Linked DNA regions of Xenopus tropicalis. The protein of the gene in region 3 interacts with the protein of the main gene of each other region in a pairwise test. Links are inferred from orthologs where the notes say so. Each region holds a gene or a part of one and is shown on either strand. Other genes may lie near its edges.

What was found.
Region 1: the proteins of egln3 (region 3) and atf4 interact in a two-hybrid assay, tested with the Homo sapiens proteins (2 studies listed by BioGRID). The link is inferred for Xenopus tropicalis from reciprocal best matches to the Homo sapiens genes EGLN3 and ATF4.
Region 2: the proteins of egln3 (region 3) and foxj2 interact in binary tests that used the Homo sapiens proteins (3 or more experiments, as listed by UniProt). The two-hybrid records come from large-scale screens. The link is inferred for Xenopus tropicalis from reciprocal best matches to the Homo sapiens genes EGLN3 and FOXJ2.

What each region holds. Positions count from the first base shown.
Region 1 is NC_030680.2:121,049,424-121,053,537, forward strand, and holds atf4 (cyclic AMP-dependent transcription factor ATF-4), read left to right. Parts: upstream 1-1,308; 5' UTR 1,309-1,562; intron 1,563-2,630; 5' UTR 2,631-2,743; coding exon 2,744-2,930; intron 2,931-3,154; coding exon 3,155-3,978; 3' UTR 3,979-4,068; downstream 4,069-4,114. UniProt on the Homo sapiens protein: Transcription factor that binds the cAMP response element (CRE) (consensus: 5'-GTGACGT[AC][AG]-3') and displays two biological functions, as regulator of metabolic and redox processes under normal cellular conditions, and as master transcription factor during integrated stress response (ISR).
Region 2 is NC_030683.2:9,117,746-9,121,939, reverse strand, and holds the start of foxj2 (forkhead box protein J2), read left to right. Parts: upstream 1-1,367; 5' UTR 1,368-1,451; intron 1,452-2,150; exon of another isoform or gene 2,151-2,727; coding exon of another isoform or gene 2,728-2,750; intron 2,751-3,153; coding exon of another isoform or gene 3,154-3,160; coding exon 3,161-3,472; intron 3,473-4,194.
Region 3 is NC_030684.2:113,846,378-113,850,545, reverse strand, and holds the start of egln3 (egl nine homolog 3), read left to right. Parts: upstream 1-1,279; 5' UTR 1,280-1,720; coding exon 1,721-2,113; intron 2,114-3,349; coding exon 3,350-3,469; intron 3,470-4,168. UniProt on the Homo sapiens protein: Prolyl hydroxylase that mediates hydroxylation of proline residues in target proteins, such as PKM, TELO2, ATF4 and HIF1A. Target proteins are preferentially recognized via a LXXLAP motif.

The DNA.
Region 1 (4,114 bases), on a different chromosome or scaffold from region 3:
GTTAAAGTAATCCCCCTCAAATGTAGCAGTTAACATGGTATAGTCCAGAACTGTCACAACATACTTCATACTCCTTTAAAACACCAAATGGCTCCCACTTAATTTGTAATGTTACAGGGGCTGACTTTACAACGAACATGTGGGCTCAGGAATGCTCCAACAACAGATGCTCTTTATAGTGTATACACTTTACTTCAGCGAAGCTACAAAACGAGCAGGAAGAGACAAATATGGCAGCGCCAGGACACGCTCCCAAGTTCCCATCAGCGATTCTCCTCACATTCCAGCGCCGGCGCCCCGCCCATCCGCCTCACTCTGGTGCAGCAGCTTTGCGTGCCCACTGCGTGATTCAGAGGGCTCATTCGCTTTCAGCCAATAGCGCGGCGTGTAGGGATTGGGCGCTGCCTGGGCCAACCAATCAACGGCAGCTGTACACGCGTTGGCTTCGTGATATGAAAGCGTCTCTGGGCGGATTCACCATTTGGTGGCAGGGCGGGCAGAGTGGGGGGGGATAATGTGGGAGTGGGACGTGGGTTTGTTTCCATAACAGTGGGGAGGGGCAATGCCAGGAACACGCGTGACACACCAAATGAATTAATTAAAACTAGCGCGCCCTTTTCGTTTATGTCTATAATGCTTAATTAGCCAATATAAATAAAGTGAAAAAGTGGTGTCAGGAGTTTTATTTCTTGGTTACTTCGGGGGAACGCCATAATATTTGCCCCAAGTGCTTATTATCCGTATTGGTGGTATTTACCCCTTGCCTCTTTCATAGACTGTGGCAAAGCAGGGGGTGTTGATAAAATGTTATATTTAACGTATAATAAAAATCTATCAGGCCTGTTCGTCTGTCTATCGCCAGTCACTCAAACATGGATTATTATACTAATGACCGAAATGGTTTTCATTTGTATCGGGCGACTGACACTACTTTCTACGTCGGTGACACTGACACATTGTCCTCTTTGAAGTACAATGTCTGGGTCTTGCCCTGGCCTGGCGTACGCAGAAATTCGTACAAGAGCACTACAGTGTATCAAACAATGAACTAAAATATTGCCTTCGTTTACTCTAATAAACACCACGCACACATTTATTCCGCGATGAATCTTATTCTGTTAGAACCCTATTGATCCATTTATAATTGCATTACACAGTATAGTTCCTGGAGCGGAGGCACACGTTGCCGTCAGATCACATGTCAGAGCGACGCTACAAAAGAAGAGACTACAGAGCGGACGGATACACGGGGCGGAACCACGAGTCTATATAAAGGGGCGGTAAATCGCCCGCCACGTCAGTCTGCAGCTTGGAATGAAAGAGGGAACGTAGTTTGCTGTCGCTGGGTCTTTTTTGTTAACTAAATACTAAGGTTTGAGGACGCGACGCTTCTGCTGTAGCAGGTTCCAACAGTGATTTCTTCAGTCCGGCGCCGCAATAACCAGCGGACAGCCATGGCGCTATAGCGGCAGCACAGGCCTGCGGCTCCCCTCTCCCCCGGCCATAGCGAGGCAGCAGCTCCCAGCGGCGCCCGCAGCACCAGGCAACGGCACAGCCATGGCGTAAGTATCCCTACTGGGTCATGTACTACATGGCGAGGTGTTAAGTGTGTGTGTGTGGGGGGTGGGAAATTGCTTGAAATGCAGGAGTATTAATATAAAACGGGGCAGGAAGGAATGTCTGGGGTAATGTAGCGGTAGATCGAACGTAAATGTTCTTATGTGTCTTGCCATGTGGCTCTTGTCCTTGGCAGACTCGACTCTGGCGCCCCCTAGGGTACGATGTATGTACAGCAGGTAGACAATAGCTATCAGCCATATTGTGCGGCTGCTGGAGTGACAATTATCAGTATATACATCTCATTCATTAGGGCCACAAAGGGACCTTTGGGTTTTCTTACAAATGCAGATTTCCTGAACTTGCATCTTGTGTTTACGGTTTAAATTATTGAAGCTATTAACTTGCTGCTTTTGTAACCTGGGTGGTGTCCATAGGGTTAAACGAATTCCACTAGGAATTGTAGCTATTGCCTTAATCAGTTTGTTGAATGGGGGACTCTCTAAAATGTTTCAATGTCACAGTGGGTTTGATCTCCTTTAGTGGTATTTCTAGCTCCTGTGTGGCTTGGGAATTCTTAATGGGTGTGCTTTGAAATGAGACTCTCCCCAGGCAGATTTAGACTTGCTCTCTAGAGACAGCTGTTTCCCTTGTATGCATAGGGGAATCTCTCATAACAGCGCTCCAGATGGCATTGAAAATTAGTAATGTATTTTCAGTTAGTGTTGTGCTTAACAATAAAATGTAGCATTCAACAATGATCTTATGTGAGGAAGGTGACTTCATTTGTTTAGGACATGGTTTGGATGGTTTAGCAATTTGTATTTAAAGGGGTTTGATGCTAAAATGGCATCCATACCAGGGTGGAGAACAAACCAGATGGTTAACTTGTGAAATGGCTGCTGATCAGCTTTGTGAATCACCGGGTGTGGGTGGGGCCGGAGGGAAGGTGCCCATATTTGGTCATGAGGGAAGAGAAGACTAGAATATAATACTGCTCTTGTGAAGAAGCATTGTGAAGAACAAGCATGTTTTTCTTAATAATGTTCTTAATATTTGCTTTTATTATGCAGGCTTCTCCAGGCATCCCACAGCAGCATTGCTGTATACGAGGAAGAAAGCTCAAAATTGTCATCACCAGTCGAATTCGTGATCCTACAGAAAGATGAGTTTGTTAAGCGACGAGATGCTGTTGGGGGACCTTCTGTCCCCCTTCAACCAGTCGTTTTTGGCGGCTGAAAAGAGTTTGGGTCTCTTGGAGGATGAATTTGAGGTGCCCGGGTACCTCCTATCGCAAGGGTTCTCCAGCGACAAGGCTAAGGATGGCGTCTCTGACCTGCTGCCTTATGTTGAATCTTTAGGCAGTTTTCATGGTAAGTAAACTGGCTTTCAAAGGGTTCAGTCTCTCTTCTGTATAATAGAATATTCATGTATTTTGCTTGAAGCACCTCTTTGCAGCCACATTACTGGAATAGATTTGTTAAAATATTTGTTCAATGGCTAATGGGCATTTTAAGTGGAAAGATTGTAAAACTTAGCTTATGAGATGATAGAAATTTGTTGCTTTGCTTTCTGAGCCTTCTTTGTTCTTTATTAGGGGACGCCTTCTCCGGCATGGATTGGATGGTGGAAAAGATGGATCTGAAGGAATTTGATTTAGACTCCCTGTTTGGGTTGGAAGATCTGGAATCCACTATCTCACCAGATGAGCTAACATCCACGTTGGAAGACTCATGTGATTTCCTAGAGGACCCACCTCATGCAGCAGTGATTGGCCACTTTGTGCCATCACCTGAACCTGTCTCTCTTCCAGAGTCCCCACTGGATGCTGATCAGGTTGCCCCATTTAGCCCAGATTTGACAGCCTCTCTCTCCTCTAGCCCAGACCATTCCTTCATCTTGGATGTAGGTAGTGAGGTAGATGTTGCAGAGGATGAGAAAAAGTCCTCTGCAACATATACTCTAGAGATACTTAAATGTGAGAAGGAAGATTCCTCTGATAATGATAGTGGAATCAGCATGAGCCCCTCCTACTTGGAATCCCCTCAGCAGAGTCCATCAACTGTAGAATGCTATAGTAGTCCTCAGTCCTCCCTAGAGTCCCCAGTCTCTGAGAGACCCAAACCTTATGATCTTCCCTGTAAGGATAGAGATGTGATGGCGAAGGTGAAAGTAGCTGGAGGGCAGCCCAGAGTAGACAAGAAGAAAAAGAAAATGGAGCAGAACAAAACAGCAGCCACTCGCTACAGACAGAAGAAAAGAGCAGAGCAAGAGTTAATATCTGGAGAGTGCAGAGAACTAGAGGGAAAAAATGATACCCTTAGAGAAAAAGTAGATTCGTTAACAAAAGAGATCCAGTATTTGAAAGATCTGATAGCTGAAGTCCGACAGGCCAAAAGCAAACGAGCAAAAAGTTCTTGAATAGGGAACAAAGCTGGAGCGTGTGTATGTTGTATATAGGTCACTTAAGAATGTTGTGGAATGTCTACTTAATAAATTATTTTGTAGTTACTTTTTTGTCGGATTTCTTTATTTGTGCAGTATAAATTAGCTTGGG
Region 2 (4,194 bases), on a different chromosome or scaffold from region 3:
TGTTAGCCCCTGGTCTGCCCTAGCTCTCCTCTGTTAGCCCTTGTATGCCTTAGCTCTCCTCTGTTAGCCCCTCGTATGCCTTAGCTCTCCTCTGTTAGCCCTTGTATGCCTTAGCTCTCCTCTGTTAGCCCCTCGTATGCCTTAGCTCTCCTCTGTTAGCCCCTCGTATGCCTTAGCTCTCCTCTGTTAGCCCCTGGTCTGCCCTAGCTCTCCTCTGTTAGCCCTCGTATGCCTTAGCTCTCCTCTGTTAGCCCCTCGTATGCCTTAGCTCTCCTCTGTTAGCCCCTCGTATGCCTTAGCTCTCCTCTGTTAGCCCCTCGTATGCCTTAGCTCTCCTCTGTTAGCCCCTCGTATGCCTTAGCTCTCCTCTGTTAGCCCCTCGTATGCCTTAGCTCTCCCACCAGCCCACTTGCCAGCCCAGCCTGCCCGGTGCCTTTCTGGGCTGCCTTACTCTGCTGTGACTTAGTTTCACAAAACTACACCAGGGCAGTTACCAATAGCAACCAATCAGCAATCTGTTTTATCCAGTCTACTACATGTGAAGCATTAAAACATTGATCTGATTGGTTTTAGACCTATGCTAGTGCAGTTTAGCGCCTTCATTAGTAAATCACCCCCACCCTTTCTTCTGTGGTCCCCTCCTTCTCTTTGTCCTGTGTCTTCTCTCACCTCTCTAAAACTGTCTGTATCTCCCCAATGTCACCCCCATTTCCAGAACTGTGTCTTCTTCCCTCTCTTGATCCATTCTTCCTTTTCTCTGTATTCTCTCCAGACTCTCGTACCCCTCTCTCCCTGCCCTCTGTCTCCTTTCTCCCCTCTCCTTTCCTGTCTCTCTTTTCCCACAAATGCGTCTCTCTCTCTCTGTGCCGTCTCTCTCTCTCTGTGCCGCCTCTCTCTCTCTGTGCCGTCTCTCTCTCTCTGTGCCATCTCTCCTCTCCAGTTCTCAGTATCTCTCTCCCCTTTCCCTGTCTCTTCTCTCCTCTCTTTCTTCCTGGTCTCTGTCTGTATTATTATTAAGATGTATTTATAAAATGGCAACATATTTCACAGCGCTGTACAATAAATGGGTGTATACGTTAAACATACAAGAAATCATACAAAAACAAGCTCTCCCCAAAAGAGCTTACAATCTTCCCCCCGCCTCCTCCCCTCAGAGTAGCCCTATGGCCCCACACCATGTGAATAAGCGGTATCCAGCTGGAAGGGCTGCACTGAGTGCATTTGTGTCTCCATGATGTGCTAGACCTGTCTCCCTCCCCTCTCTCAGTCCTCCCTCCCCTTCACACTTATGGCCCGGAAGAAAACCCAACCCTGCAGGAAGCAGAAGTTCCTCCTCCTCTAGCTGTCTGTGTATTCCCCCCCATCCAGAAATCCTGTCGTTCCCCCCTCCCCAGCCTTTGCCGTGGAGAGGGGGCGACCCCGGAGAAGAGAAGGGAGAGGAGGTGCAAAATGTGAGCAATGACAAGAGGGCAACTGGGAGAGAGGGAAGGGGAGAGGGGCAGAAAGGACGGAGAGGAGGGGAGGGGTGGGGGGAAGTGACAGATGCAGACAGACAGATGTGTGAGCAGGCACAGACACACACACACACAGCTCCACTGCACTGGCACATAATTACACACACACACACACACACTCTCACCTGCAGTCATAGCAACACACAGACACAAATATTGTCACACACCCAGACTGTCACACAGACACCCACGCTGTCACACACACCCAGACTGTCACACAGACACCGACGCTGTCACACACACCCAGACTGTCACACAGACACCCACGCTGTCATACACACCCAGACTGTCACACAGACACCCACGCTGTCATACACACCCAGACTGTCACAAAGACACCCACGCCGTCATATTTACATTACACTTCCAGACTGATATACAGGCACCCAGTCTGTTACACAGACATCCATAGACTCCTACAGAAACCCACACACATAGAGACACCCAGCCTGTCACACAGACATCCATAGACACCTACAGAAACCCACACTCATAGAGACACCCAGCCTGTCACACAGACATCCATAGACACCTACAGAAACCCACACACATAGAGACACCCAGCCTGTCACACAGACATCCATAGACACCTACAGAAACCCACACTCATAGAGACACCAGGCCTGTCACACAGACATCTATAGACACCTACAGAAACCCACACACATAGAGACACCCAGCCTGTCACACAGACATCCATAGACACCTACAGAAACCCACACTCATAGAGACACCCAGCCTGTCACACAGACATCTATAGACACCTACAGAAACCCACACACATAGAGACACCCAGCCTGTCACACAGACATCCATAGACACCTACAGAAACCCACTCTCATAGAGACACCCAGCCTGTTACACAGACATCCATAGACTCCTACAGAAACCCACACACATAGAGACACCCAGCCTGTCACATAGACATCCATAGACACCTACAGAAACCCACTCTCATAGAGACACCCAGCCTGTTACACAGACATCCATAGACTCCTACAGAAACCCACACTCATAGAGACACCCAGACTGATACATAGATGGCTAGGCAGACAGACACCCAGCCTGGCGTGTAGACAACCAGATTATATCACAAGACCACCGCAAACTGACCTACAGACGCTTAGACTGCTATTCTGAGGATGCAATAGACACCTGGATTTTTTTGCCAACACCAAGATTGGGGTAGTCCATTTAACATACAGACAGCCGGATGGCATACAGACATCAAAACTGGTAAAAAGACCTCTAGACTATTATGCAGACAGGCAGACAGGCAGACAAACGGACTAGCAACCATACAGGCATGCAGACTGTAGACTGGCAGAGATAGCCACATTGTGTAGATACAAGTTGGTATATTAGTCAATAGGTGCAACTGTTTGTATCAAGCCTGCAGTACAGACAAAGGACGTATACAATTAATATATATATACTGTATATATAGCCCCAGACACGTAGTGCAATCATGCAGTTATACAATGGGCACTACCAAGCTTGGCCTTCTCCTTCCTGGCACCACTGCACTGGCACACGGTACAAATACTAACACAAGTGACAGTGGATCAGGGCCTGGGTTTGTAGACATTGGGGTCAAGTTAGAAGTCATAAATGAATGACCCAAAATTCTCTCCTTCAGTTCCAAGATGGCGTCCGATCTGGGCAGCAGCCTCACCTCCATAGACTGGCTTCCACAGCTCACAATCCAGGCGGCCATGAAGGGCTCCCAACAAAACAACGCAGGGCGTAAGGGCCCAGGATCCCCCACAGACCCCAGTGCCATGCTGAGCAAGGAGGAAGCTGCAGCGCACCGTGATGGGAAGCCCCCTTACAGCTACGCCAACCTCATCCAGTACGCCATCAATTCTGCTCCAGCCAAACGCATGACCCTCAGTGAGATTTACCGCTGGATCTGTGACAACTTCCCATATTATCGCAATGCTGGCGTGGGCTGGAAGGTGAGAGCAGGAAGGGGTTCCATTTAATGTGGGTCAGTAGTCTCTGTGGGGGTTGGTGGGAGTGACTGAATGTCAGGGGCAGCTCTGATTATACATATTTTAAGGGTATACAAGCAAAAGTGATGGGTTCCAGTTAAACCATTCAGTTATACAGGTTATTTTTTTCCATTTGAGCTGTTAGGGTATACAGATGATCCCCCCATTCCAGCTATTTTGGTGTACAGGCAATGGGTTATTATTATTATTATTTATATAGCGCCATCAATTTATGCTGCGCTTTACAGAATAGAGGGGTACAAAAGACAGAACAGTTAACATGTACATATAAACAATTCACAAAAATGGTTTGCGGTTATATTGGATGAGGATCGGAGACACCAAGGGGAGGGCCCTGCTCGCAAGAGCTTACATTCTAAAAGGGAGGGCTGAGACATAAGGTCAGGGTAACTAGCATGGCATTAGAGTTTATGTAGGTGTGTAAAGTGACAGTGCGGAGTGAGAGGTGAAAACCAGTGGTTATTGAATGTTTGGGGGGTTTAGGTTATAGGCTTAAGTGAAAAGGTGAGTTTTAAGAGACCGTTTAAAGGCTTGGAGAGTCTGGCGGTGCCTAATGGGACGGGGAAGAGTGTTCCAGAGGATGGGTGCAGCGTGTGAGAAGTCCTGGATGTGAGAGTGAGAGGAGGTGATGAGTGAGAAGGAGGTCATGTGTACAGTAAAGGTTA
Region 3 (4,168 bases):
GCACACACCACTAGAATACTGGATGCAAGCTTTTTTTTGTATGCCATTTTGCCCACTTTTACGCTTGTCACTTTTTCTGGAAAAAAAATGGACATCATCTTTATTAAAGGAAAACTACATCCCCAATATAAAAGCATAACCAACAGATAGTTTATATCACATAAGTGGCCTATTAAAGAATCTTACCTTACTGAAATATATATGTATATCAGTGAATATTGCTCTTTTAGGTCTTTTCCCTTGACCCACCATTTTGTGATGGTCTGCGGTCTCACATATCACCTGACAGGAAACAATGCAGCGTTAACTGTAACAGGAAGAAGTTTGGGAGTAAAAGACAGAACTGTGCCCATTCATTGGCTGATGGGGCCTAATGTGTATGTGTGCCTTGGCTTGTTTGTGTCACTGTGAATAGCATGATCCCAGGGGCAATGCTTACAATTATATTATATAAATATATAAACATATATTTTCATGTATTTTTCAATATATAATTGATTGTTTGCAATAGATGCAGTGTTGCTGGTCTTTTTCTCAATATTTAAACTCTTTTACCGTACACCCGGGACAAGGATTGAAGCGGTGTGCCTCCCTTGGTTCGATATATATAAACATATATATTTCATCAACAATGTTCACATATTGTTTTCTTTTAATACCATTGGCATCAAATATCATTACCAGCCAGGTGCCAACAACCCCACCAACTACAGTATCTAGCAATTGGCATATTTCATAATTACTTCCTAGTCCCATACATTGTGGTTTAACTACATATCCCATCAGCCCCCATCAGACAGGCGGCTGAAATAGACGCTTGTAGTTTAGCCACAAACTACATGTTGCCCCTCTCTCTCGTACAACCCACTACCTTATTTTGCCGACGCTTGCCACACCATACATATTTATACCCATGCCTTCCCTTTTTTTCCACCACCCTCTCCATTTCCTCCTTCGCCCCCCGTCCACTTCTCTCCCCCTCCCCTCCTGTGTTTACTACACTCAGCACTCTCCAGTAACAGGCTACATGCTCAGCTCAGATTCCTCAATGGCGGGCGGCACGCCTCAAAACGCCGTCTCCTAGCTACCGGAAGCCGCCTCCAGGCAAAGCTAGCCAATCGGCTCTCAGTTCCGTGTGTCCACCTCGCACGTGTTTTCTATTCCCACCCCCTGTGCGCTGCGGGCCCCGCCCATGCACGGCAGTGATTGGTAGAGAGCGGCAGGGCTGAACTGCTGGGGTTTGAAACCGCATAGGAAGCCACGCCCAGAGAGTGGAAACAACTCATCCCGCACGTAGAGAGAGAGAGGTATTAGCGGCAGCGGCGGGGGCAGGGACTGGGCAATATAAATATACACACATATTCCTGTGCCTCACTCTCATACTCGCACGGAGTGCTCACACCGCCGGCCGGGGCTATACTATAGGTGTGTGGGATAGGGGGGGTGAAGCTGCTGCTGCTTATGTACAGCCCAGTCACTGCTGCCTGTTTATACCCCCATAGGGACAAGACTGAGCCCTTCCAGTTACTAGGGGGCAGAGTATTTCCACTGTATGCGAGCATATAGGCACCTCATAGAGTGGAGCTGCTCACCCTGCATCTGGGCACTGTGGCCCCTCATTGCTGGGCTGCCAGCTTGGCTGTAGGTGCCTTTTATTTCACTTTGCTCTCTTTTTCTCAGTTTTGCTGTGCAAGTCCCTGTTGGAGGTCCTGAGTCCCCTATGCCACCAGGATCTCCCCCAGTAGTGTTCTCGGACATGCCCCTCATGCACAGCCCAGCTCTGGACCTGGAGAAGCTGGCGCTGGAGCGGGTCGTGCCTCGCTTGCTCGCCTCTGGATACTGCTATTTGGACAACTTCCTAGGGGAGGAGATAGGGAACCGTGTGCTGGAGAAAGTCAGGCGATTGTACCAGGACGGGGCGCTGAAGGATGGGCAGCTGGCCGGGCACCTGCAAGGAGTCTCCAAGAAACACCTGAGAGGTGACAAGATTGCTTGGGTCGCCGGGACAGAAGAAGGATGCGAGGCCATCGGACTGGTTTTGTCAGTTATTGACCGACTGGTGATGCTCTGTGGCAACCGACTTGGCCAATACTATGTGAAAGAAAGGTCCAAGGTGAGGCTCTCTGCATCTTTTCCTGTGTTTGGTCTTAGGCTTCCCCCCTTTATAAGCTGGGGACTAACAGTGAAGCCTAAGGCCAGCATACCGACTGAGCAGGTAGTAGTGTAGATTATTTCACATTGCAACATTTTAGAAATCCCACATTTCAAGGCTCCTGCCCCTGAATTTATCAGAGGTAGCAGATCTCAATAAAAGGGCGCACAAAGCCTCCTGCTCCGTCTGTTGCTGGAATGCTCTTAAGGTAGGGGTATGACCTACCTGAGATACTCAGACATGCAGAGAAGCCATGCATGGACCTGTTTCAATCCCCCAACAAGAGGATCTACTGGTAGAATTTACATTGTGATCAGTTGGCTGTATCCCCCCCTCCGCCAACAGACTGTGCTCCAAATGGAACCCAATCCTACTGGCTGTGTTAAGCTGTTTTTTTAACCTTTAGTTACACAAAACATATGGCTTTGTATGCCTCCACCCTGCACCTTCAGCATATGCCACGTATTAGCTTGCTTGCATGTCCTAAAAACTGAAATTTCCATTTTAATAAAAAAAAAAAAAAAAAAATACAATAAACCACAGGCCCCTATTCTCTTCTCATCCCTTGCCAAGTCTTATTCGTTCCATTTGTTCCATGTACCCTTATATAAGAGTCGGTGACATGTGGAATTCCATCACAGCTGTGGTCAGGTATGGGCACGGAAATAGAGAAACATCCTATTGACCCCATTCAACCAATTTATTTTATGATTTCTTGATATGCAACTTGGCCCTTTAATTTAGCATTTGCTGTAGGGTCCTAGAGAAATGTGTGACAGCAGGCCTTAGAGCCCTGTTTACCAGGACTGGGGTGGGGTTAGGGGCGTGCCCAACTACCTTATGGTCTGCACGTACATCTTGCATTAACCCCTCCAGTGCCACAGCTCTCTGGTGTTGGCAGTCACTTACAAGTCAAAGCCAGCTATGGATATTTATCCCTGTGAACGTTTTGTCACTGATGGGGGTTAAACATAGTTTTTGCACAAGCAACTCCTGAATGACAACATTTTAGGGAACACTGATACCCTTTATTTAGGTCTGCATTTGTTATTGAGCCGCCCACATGAATTCAGTAAAAGTCGCAATTGTGACAATACTAATGCATTGCATGTGCTGCCATGTACTGGTATTTATGTCAATTCACTGCTGTATATCTATTTACTGAGAAATGTTAATCCGTGCCTATTCACTTCTCAGGCCATGGTAGCATGTTATCCTGGCAACGGTGCTGGATATGTGCGCCATGTGGACAATCCAACGGGAGACGGACGTTGTATCACCTGCATTTATTACCTGAACAAAGACTGGGATGCAAAGGTAAGACGTTCCTCTAAATTCTTTTAGACCTCGTATACCCTGGTGATGAGCTGTGACTGTTGCAGTTGGTCATGGCGCTCATATCTTTAGTGTGTAGTGTGGCTCTCACAAGGAATACACAAATGAGTGGTTACACAGTGGTTGACATGTGGTGTATTGTGTTAGTACTGACCACCAGGCAGATGGCCTCTCAGTTTACAGTGTGGTGCAGCCACAGATCAACCATAGGAATGTATAACAGATTTACTGATATTGGCTGTGACAGAACACTAACAATCTGCTGGAACATTGCAGTCGCCGCTATATGTACTGAAACGTGCTGTGTCAGCTGCAGGTCTGTATGTGGCCTACAGATATTCATAGCTGGCACAAACTGGTTTCCTCATTGGCATTTTTTCTTTATGTTCAGTAGCTGCAGATTAGGTCACACGCATATAATCATCTGTGTAATCCAGGCTTTATGGATATTATTTTGCCCCCTTTGCTACCTAAAGCATCCATAGATTACTGCTACTATCAAACGGGAATTAGCCTTACCGTAGCTGAACTACACATTGCAAACTGTCTGCACTAAGTGTTTTCATTTATCTGCCAACCTGTTCTTTGGTGTCCAACTTATGTGGTGTTGGCTGTTGGTATGGCCATTCTGCACCAGAGATTTCTATCCTGTAGCTGTGCAGCTATTGCTGAGTCCCTGGA